Linked DNA regions of Kluyveromyces lactis. The protein of the gene in region 2 interacts with the protein of the main gene of each other region in a biochemical or structural test. Links are inferred from orthologs where the notes say so. Each region holds a gene or a part of one and is shown on either strand. Other genes may lie near its edges.

Region 1 (4,660 bases), about 370 kb from region 2:
AAACGGAAGAAACGAGTAAGGTAAGTGAATATAAGCTCCTTTCTGTGTGTACCGCACTACAGTTAGCATTCTCTGAGGACGGATGTCCTGTGTTATTCTTAGCAAGACAAGATTTTACTCAAATTATGATATTCAAATTCAGAAATCATCAAATACATCATGTTGCTAACATTGCTTTAAATACGGCACAATTTAGTACCCATTCTTTCAACGTTTCCGATATGCTTATCACTTCTTTCACACCGTCTTGGCATCCTATAAATTCTCACATCCTACAGATAAATAGCACAACAATCCTTGCTGTCGCTACATCCCATATTCCATATATGCGAATTATTGTCACAAAAGTTCCGAGCTTGGATGATTATACTGTTGAAGATTTGTCTGTCAACTCCTCTTCCATCCCACAACGGAGTGTTCTAGACGAATATATCAGTAACAATGCATCAATTACTGAGACAGTAACCACCACCACAAAGACGCATTACGATTCTATCTTACAGAATATTGCCACTGTAGTACCACAGGATAGTTATTCTCAGCCTATTTTGCAAGTGTCTTATTCACTTGGTGGTTTAGTCGTTGGAGCAGATAACGGATTATATGCCGTGGATTTACGGAAATCTGACACATGGCCCCTAAAATATGGCAAAGAGGATAGAATTAAGTCTTTAGACATTTACAAAGATAGCATTTGCGTTTCGCTTGCCTCAAAGAAGTTGGTGATGTGGAAGCTAAAGTAGTCATATATAGTTCATCATAGTTAATATATTATTATTTCTTTCTACTTTTCAGATCCAAACCTTATTTTCAGTGATAGAACTCAGAAGGAGTTTGTTAATGTATAACTGAAGTATCATAAACATATAAGCTGTAACAGAAAAACGCCACTCCGTCGAGCGGAGGGCGTGTACCTAGTATTGAGCCATTACTAGTGGAACAAATGGCGTTAATCTTCTCGATAGACCTCCTCTTTCGAAGAAAATTGTACTCACGTGACCTGAGTTACACTGTCACATCTTTCAAAGAAACATGTAAAGGTTGATTCAACCAATTTGAACCTTCGCAGCACCTAAAAAAAAAAAGGTTACCGGGAACAAGATAACTCGCTAAGCAACGACTTGCTAGTACTACAGCAACGTTTGAAATATGACATCTGTTCAGCCATTTGAGGCTACTGATTTTTTCAGTTTAAATGCAGTGAATCTAGATACATTTACAGAGAACTTTCCTATTGAGTTTTATCTTGAATATCTAATTCTATGGCCATCGCTAATGTTCAAGAGCATAGAGATGACTTCTCCGCTGCACGGTTCAGAGGAATATGAAATATCGGGATATATGATGGGTAAAACAGAGGGAAAAGGACAAGACTGGCATGCACACATTACTGCTGTGACGATATCACCTAGGTTCAGGAGAATATCGCTTGCATCGATGCTATGTGACACATTAAAAACCATAACAGATAACTCCCCGCATAATGTGAACTTTATTGATTTATTTGTGAAATGCAATAACCAATTGGCGATCAGTTTATATGAAAAATTGGGATATTCTGTCTATAGAAGAGTTGTAGGATATTACAACTCGCAAACTGATCCAATACCTTCCCGGTCAACAAAACCAAATGACCTCAAGGATGCCTTTGACATGAGACATGGGATGGAAAGAGACCAGGGAAAAAGTCTTCGTGCTGATGGACGGAAACATAATTGCTTGCCGATGGACATACGGTTTTAATGCTGTACTTTTAAAATTATAATAGCTTTTAAATTTGTATACTTAGTGTTTCTATGTTACACATGCGTCTTTCCCTGCTTTTACTTCGATAGATTGCTCGATTCATTTCGTGTTAGCTTCAATTTCCCGGTGTGTTAAGAGGTAGTTGAGATAATAGGTATTTAATGGGGTTCTGTTAAGATTCAACATCATGGACTGGTGGCTTGTTGGCAGCATTACGATTTCCACCACGGAAGCCACCGCGGTTACCGCCACGGTTACCTCTATATCCACCACGACCTCTGAAGCCGCCACGACCATTGTTTCTTGGTCTGGCTTGACCGAAAGTATCCAAGTTGACCTGGCGTTCCTCTTCCCATTTGGCAGAAGACGAGTTTTCTACGGCGGAACTTGAAATGGAATCAAAGAATGAGGATTTTTTATCGTAGAAAATCTCATCTGTCTTGGAGGTTTGCTTCTCTTGTTCTATATCTGATTCTCTGGGCTTTTCAGCATTCTGGAATTTGGCGTTGTTACTTTCGAAATCAAATTCAGAATCTGGAACAGCAGAAGGAGCCACCGCAGCCACAGGAGCAGCAGGAGCCGCAGACTTCTGCTGTTGCTGGTTAGGAACTTTCTTTTCGGTAACAGGCTGTTGGCGGGTCTGCTGTCTTTGCTGCTGCTGTTTTTGCTGGTGTTGTTGGGGAACTTGCTGCTGATCCTTGTCTGGAGCGTACACACCATACCCGGCCACCGCAGCAGGAACGTTGGGCCCATTTGCATTAGCCAACGGAGCTGGTGGTTGACCGCTTACCTGAGGTGGCAATACAGGTTGTACTTGTTCCAAAGGAACGTCTAAAATGTTTAAATCCTTAACGTCATTACCGTTGAAAGGCACCGTATCGTAGATATTAGGGTTGGGATAGATTTCTTCCGGGCCCCATCCCTTGCGTCCCTCTGTACCGAAACAACGAACTTGTCTTAAAGTAACAACACCTTTCTCAGAGTCAATAGACTCCAATAAGCCGACATAACGGTTATCAGTATTCGAAATAAGAGCAATAGTCTTACCAATATATTGCGACATCCTTTCAAAAAGTGGACACTCTATAATCAATAAATTAACTTCTAAAACCCACTAGATACAAACAAATATCCTTCTTGAACAACGATCAAAGTGTGGGAATAGTTCTAAATTAAGAGCGAACGTTAGCAGATGCAGTCAGTATTATTCAATGTCATAGTCCCTTAGATTTCTAAAGATTCTTCAATTGGAAATACCTGCATGGAAATTCATAGTTTTGACGGTTTCAATATTAATTTTCGATGTTGACGAATGGCATTTCAAAACCACGTGATCAATATCAACACTTTTTTTTTTTCTTTTCGAAGAATCCTCACTTCGAGGCAGACGAGAGCCAAAAAATGTGTGGAGAAGGGACATTACAGCCGAAAAACTGGAAAATAATCTGTGATAAGTGACCGCTATTCATCTAATTGGGGAATAATTCTGGGAAAGTAACTACTATATAAATGGAATATAATTTCTAAGGTGTAAAGTGCAAAATGTTCCTGTTTTCAAGCCTAAACTCTTCGGTTGGAAGCGGAGAATAATAAAATCAAAAAAAAAAGTAAATTTAGTACTTTGCAGTGCTTATTGAATGAATCACCGCCCCTCTAACAATTTATTGTGAACAGGAGATAATCAATTTTATAAACGCCGAAGTTTAGTAGATCAGGGTCAATTAAATCACGTACCACCGTAACATATGGCAAGTTTAGAGAATGCTTTCGTTGGGGCAGTCTCCAGCGGGTTTGCCAATTTGGCAGTGTATCCACTTGATTTGGCGAAAACTGTGATTCAAACTCAGTTGAAACAAGGTGATTTGTACCCTTCTTCTGATGTTCAAGCTGATGTCTCTACCAAGGAAAGTACTGGCTCCAGTAAACCGAAGAAACACGGTATACAGCAGATTAAACCGAAGCCTGAACCTCCGACAGCGACTAAAGAGTCATTGGAGCAGCGGTATAAGCATGCATTAGATGTGATTGTAAAAGTTTATCGGAATGAAGGGTTTGGTGGATTATACCATGGGTTAAGCGCATCATTGCTTGGAACTTTCATACAGAGTTTCTCTTATTTCTTCTGGTATACCTTGATCAGAAGACATTATTTCCGTGTGAAGAAAGTGAAGGGTGAGGCTGCCAGGTTTTCAACAATTGAAGAATTGCTGCTTTCCATGCTGGCAGCAGCAACCTCTCAGTTATTCACTAATCCAATCAACATTGTTTCGACAAAACAACAGACTAGACGTGGTTTAGAAGGGGACAACAGTTTCAAGGCTATTGCCAAGGAGGTTTATGATGAGGATGGGATTACTGGATTCTGGAAAAGTCTGAAAGTCTCGTTAGTCCTAACGATAAATCCTTCCATTACTTATGCCTCAGCCGAGAAATTGAAAGATATACTTTACCATGTGGAATGGAACGCCAAGGATTTGAACGATTCCTCTTTGCAATTGAAACCTGGTCAGAATTTCTTGATTGGTGTACTCTCTAAGATCATCTCAACTTGCCTCACCCATCCATTGATTGTGGCAAAAGCATCATTACAACGTTCCTCATCCAAATTCACCAGCTTCCAAGAAGTTCTAACTTATTTATACCGCCATGAAGGTGCCCATGCCCTCTGGAAGGGTCTTCTCCCCCAATTAACCAAAGGTGTGATTGTTCAAGGCTTGTTATTTATGTTCAAGGGAGAACTAGCTAAACACATCAAGAAGCTACTATTTTTGTTGCAGGTTTATAGGAAAGGAAGAACTATCAAAGCCAATTGAATGCAACCAGAACCGCTCTCATTTGCAGCATTTTGTTCTTTCTTAATCACATATTCTTGAGGAGTAAGTATAAGCAAGCTTTTTTTTTTAATATATACAAA
Region 2 (4,991 bases):
ATTCGTCCAGATATCGTTCACTCTGTGTTCACATCTGTCAACAAGAACAAGAGACAAGCTTATGCTGTTTCCGAAAAGGCTGGTCACCAAACCTCTGCTGAATCTTGGGGTACTGGTCGTGCTGTTGCCCGTATTCCACGTGTTGGTGGTGGTGGTACCCACAGATCCGGTCAAGCTGCTTTCGGTAACATGTGTCGTGGTGGTCGTATGTTCGCTCCAACCAAGACCTGGAGAAAGTGGAACGTTAAGGTTAACCAAAACGAAAAGAGATACGCTACTGCTTCTGCTATTGCTGCCTCTGCTGTTCCATCTTTGGTTTTGGCCAGAGGTCACAGAGTCGAAAAGGTTCCATCCATCCCATTGGTTGTTTCCGACGACTTGCAATCCATCCAAAAGACCAAAGAAGCTGTTGCTGCTTTGAAGGCTGTTGGTGCTCACTCCGACGTCATCAAGGTCGTCAAGTCCAAGAAGCTAAGAGCTGGTAAGGGTAAGTACAGAAACAGAAGATTCACTCAAAGAAGAGGTCCATTGGTTGTCTACTCCGAAGACAACGGTGTTGTCAAGGCTTTCAGAAACGTTCCAGGTGTTGAAACCGCTAACGTTGCCTCTTTAGGTTTGTTGCAATTGGCTCCAGGTGCTCACTTGGGTAGATTCGTTATCTGGACTCAATCCGCTTTCTCCAAGTTGGACCAAATCTGGGGTTCCGAAACCGTTGCCTCTGTCAAGGCTGGTTACGCTTTGCCATCTAACATCATCTCTACTTCCGATGTTACCAGAATCATCAACTCCACTGAAATTCAATCTGTCTTGAGAGCCGCTGGTCAAGCCACTCAAAAGCGTACTCACGTCCAAAAGAAGAACCCATTGAAGAACAAGCAAGTCTTGTTGAGATTGAACCCATACGCTAAGGTCTTCGCCGCCGAAAAGTTGGGTTCCAAGAAGGTCGACCAAGCTAACAAGATCAAGCCATCTGCTACTGCTTTGGAAACCTTGAAGCACGATTAAACAAAATAGTACGTTTCTTTCTACTTCACTAGTCTGAAATATATTTTTTTGTATTCAATTGCTACTTCTTCCCAATCCCAAAACAATCTTGTTGTGAGAGAGCTTGAGCTCTGCTTATAGACTAAAATTAGTTTCTACGTATATATCTCTATGTAGCGTCTCTCAAATCATTCATTGTTTTAGCGAGCGTTGTCTTTTTCTTATTGCAAGAGGCGGAGTGAACATTTGTCTATAATGCTTATCAAATTTGCAAAATATAATACATAGAGAATTATATAATCTTGAAGCCTAAGCAGGAAATAATTGGGTGTGGTTGCTAAGTACTGTTACAAACTGCTTGGAATTGCGAGAGGGGCTTTCATTTCCTTTTTATTTTATCTTTGTTTCTTAATGTTAATGATAATAGTGAAGTTCACAATGGAATCGAAGGCATTGAAAGGTTGAAAGAGCTGCATTCCTTCAGAATTAACCAAGTAATAAACATAATCTGAAGGTGATCTGAGCCTCAATGGGAATAGTAAACGAATAGTTTACGTAAAAAGGGCCCCAAATAATGGACTGAGTAAGAAAAACAACATAGCTACTATTTTAATGCATCAAGTAAGTGTTGGTACCCTTTCTTGACCTTTCTTTACCGTCTGGACCAGAGGCCTTGAAATTGTACACGATCTTGATATCCAAATCTCTGTTGTTATCTTTGTTTGGTAAACAGGTCAATTCACCTTCTAGGATATCATTAGCTTCACATTCCAAATCGTCTTCCAAATAGAAGACGGTTTGTTTCCAATGGGTGTATGTAGCATGGGCACCAGTGGAGAAAGTGACAGGTTTGTTACCCTTTGGTGCTGGGAATTCAATATCGAACCATGAAATCAACCCATTAATGAAATCTTGTCTCTTTGCCTGCAATTTAAACTTGCTGTGGAATGCCAAATCTGGGATAGTCACTGTATTAAGATCAAATTCGATTAATTTACATTTGGTAGTATTAACAGAACTGTTTTCCACTGTATCGACCAAAGGTTCTCTTTTCACCAATGGGATAAATGGTGAGTAATCGAACCCATAAACGTCTTGCCAAAAGTTCAGCTTTTCGCCCTTATACTTAGAATCTTCAAGACCAGCAATGTGAATGGAACACTTGTCAGGGAAGATCAACCCACCTTCGACCAAGTAGTTATCACGTGCATACAACACGGTATCCAACATGGATTCGTATAATAAGAAGTAACCCATCCATTCGGAAATAATGATATCAACCTTCTTATAAGGCAACACAACGTCTTCCAATTTACCACGTAACAAAGTGATCTTGTCTGAAAGACCATTCAATTCAACAATTTGCTTAGCCATTTCAATAATACTAGACATATCAACACCAATGACATGCTTAGCACCGTTCTTTGCAGCAAACATAGATAGAATACCAGTACCGCATCCAACATCTAGGACAACCTTACCTTTAAAGAAGTCCTTATTTTGGGCTATAGCGTTACGGTACGAAAGCGTACGCACAGTATCTTGCAACATCTCTTCATGAATACCGAAATGGTCATAAGAGGTGAAATAGTGTTGTTCATACTCGTTCAATTCTTTTTTCTGCGTAGCAGAATCAGTGACATCAGTCTTGGACATCCTTTATTTTATTAGCTTTACAATTAGGAAAGATATGCTCAACAATTAGACTAAAGATGAAACACAAGTCTTGGTATATGTATGGTGACAAATATTATATCCCAATAAGCTGTACACTATACTCAATGCAATCAAACCAATAACCGTTCTAACAAGTTGGTTCCAGATCAAGTACTGTTCTGTTACTTATGCCTCGTTGCCTTAAATACAAAACTGAAAAATTTTTGAAGGCGATGAGCTGCAAGAAAAAGAAATCCAAAAAGAAATCGTGCATTCCCCATAGTGAAAGTGAGGTAAAGCTAGTTAGTTGCATTTGGAACGGTTGCATCAGCAATATCACCAGCAATGATATCTACAGAATTGCAATGAAAGGTGCAGAATTCGGCGAAAAAAGCTGCCTTGCTATATCTTCTGCAGATATCCTTGTTGTATAAGTCTTTCGACGTCGGATTGTCTGACGAAAAATTGGGAATCTTTAATCAGGTTGAATACACCGTACTCTGTTTCTATTTGTCCTGCATCTTTCAATACTCGTACGTCGATGAACACATCGCTCGGCGGTTGTAACATCCCAGTCAAATCGATTTCTGAGAGTTCTCCCGATTTCAATTCGGTAAGTAGTTGTGCATACTCTTTGAGATACTCTTGTTCTGCATGTGATAAAACAGAGGAATCAAACGATGATAGATTCGGGTGGTTTGATATGGCAGAAGAAAATTCCATCCCGTTGTTATCCCAAACCATTGAGTCTAGCATCTCACTTCTCATCTTTTGGTATGCTAATAGACATCTTTTGTTTCTTTCCATCGAAAGCATAGCAACGACGTACTGGCATTGAGCGACTTTGTTATCCTGATCAGTAAGCTGCTGTTCTCGTAGGTAATCCACGTTCTTCTTGAGGGATCCAACCTCTTTCAGGATGCCACGGACTAGCTCGTCTTGATATACTGGTAATTGCTGTTTGTTGAATCCAGCTTGAGATAACTGTTGCGTTCTCTTTGCTTCTAGTATCAACTTGTTAGCGAGATCTCCGTACATTTTCGGTACTATGGCAATGATAATCAAAACCAATGACTTGAATCCAGTTCCAGGTCTTTTAGCACGTTCTTTTCCCTCTGTGTTATCTCTGTAAAAGTTGTTCATAGCTTTTCTCTTCTCTAGATTGAAATCGCTTTGAGGAAAACACGTAAAATTTAAGGACTTTAACGTGAAACGATACTGTTTAGACGCGAACAAATTACAACAAAGAAAACAAGGGGAAGCAAACCAACAAAGCCCATTGGGAGGTTCTGATAAATGAAGACGAGAGTTTATGGTCACTATGGGAAATTTCAAGCCTTGGCGAGGCGACATTTGAATAAAAAAGACAATGAGTTAAGCGATGAGGACAATTTCACTTCAACTGACGAGGAAGAAACAAGTTTATCAACAGATTTAGATAGAACTTATGAGACTTCTCCCATGGCTCCTGTCAGAGAAGAGTATGTGTCTTCCTCTCATAAATACGAGTCATTTGAAAACCGTGATTCAAAGACAATTGAAGCTGATCCATTCGATATTTTGGATGGTATGGGGTCGACATCTATGAAGAAGAAACGTAAAGTGACAAGGCTTCATAAACGAATAACAGTCGACAATGACGATATGAAAGATGTTGAAGAAGCTGTTGATAATGATTCTGAGATTCATGAGTTTCAAAGTACAATTGACAGTATCTCCTCGATGATTTCGTCATTGAAAGACTCCGACGATGTAATATCGACTTATAGCCAAATTCAATGTCTTAAAGTGGTCTCCACTTCAGCAGTGAGCCAGGTGAGATACGGAAGAACACGTACATTATTGAAAAAAGAGTTTCAAAGTGATGAAGAGCTACAAGAAGAAGCATCAAATGTCGATGAGGATGATGAAAATAATGAAGGTATTTTGGATGCTCAACATCACAATACTTCTTTTAATGATTCCAATTCCGTCATTCACGTTAATCAATTAAAAACACTCGGAGAAGGGCTTAAGTTCGAAGATGATCTGGATTTCTTACCATTCACTACTAGTGATGAAAAGTTATTTGTCGTAAAACTGATTAGCTGTTGTTTACTATTACTCAACAATACAGAGTTGACAAGTTATACTCAAAAGTATAAAAGCAATGAAGTATGGAACTGGTTTTTGCAGCAAATTAACCCTGAGAACAATGTCATGAGTTATTTACAACTTTGGATTGCTAATTTAGTACCACTGCCGCGAAGTGCCCCTCAATGGCAACAGTTATCACCTCTCCTAATGACTTGTTCCTCTCTTACAGAAAATCCAAAACTTATTGAGGGTTCAAAGATTACGAAATTAAACTA

What was found.
Region 1: the proteins of HMT1 (region 2) and SCD6 form a complex in vitro, tested with the Saccharomyces cerevisiae proteins (2 studies listed by BioGRID, with this or other methods). The link is inferred for Kluyveromyces lactis from reciprocal best matches to the Saccharomyces cerevisiae genes HMT1 and SCD6.

What each region holds. Positions count from the first base shown.
Region 1 is NC_006038.1:984,802-989,461, forward strand, and holds SCD6 (Scd6p), read right to left. Parts: upstream 2,810-4,660; coding exon 1,919-2,809; downstream 1-1,918. Other genes in the region: KLLA0_B11253g (uncharacterized protein), read left to right, coding at 1-743; peptide alpha-N-acetyltransferase complex B subunit NAT3, read left to right, coding at 1,150-1,743; ANT1 (Ant1p), read left to right, coding at 3,492-4,559.
Region 2 is NC_006038.1:616,017-621,007, reverse strand, and holds HMT1 (protein-arginine omega-N methyltransferase HMT1), read right to left. Parts: upstream 2,641-4,991; coding exon 1,594-2,640; downstream 1-1,593. Other genes in the region: KLLA0_B07139g (60S ribosomal protein uL4), read left to right, coding at 1-1,005; DNA replication protein PSF1, read right to left, coding at 3,043-3,678; RAD61 (Rad61p), read left to right, coding at 3,937-4,991. UniProt on the Saccharomyces cerevisiae protein: S-adenosyl-L-methionine-dependent protein-arginine N-methyltransferase that catalyzes both the mono- and asymmetric (type I) dimethylation of the guanidino nitrogens of arginine residues in a variety of RNA-binding proteins such as heterogeneous nuclear ribonucleoproteins (hnRNPs) and small nuclear ribonucleoproteins (snRNPs).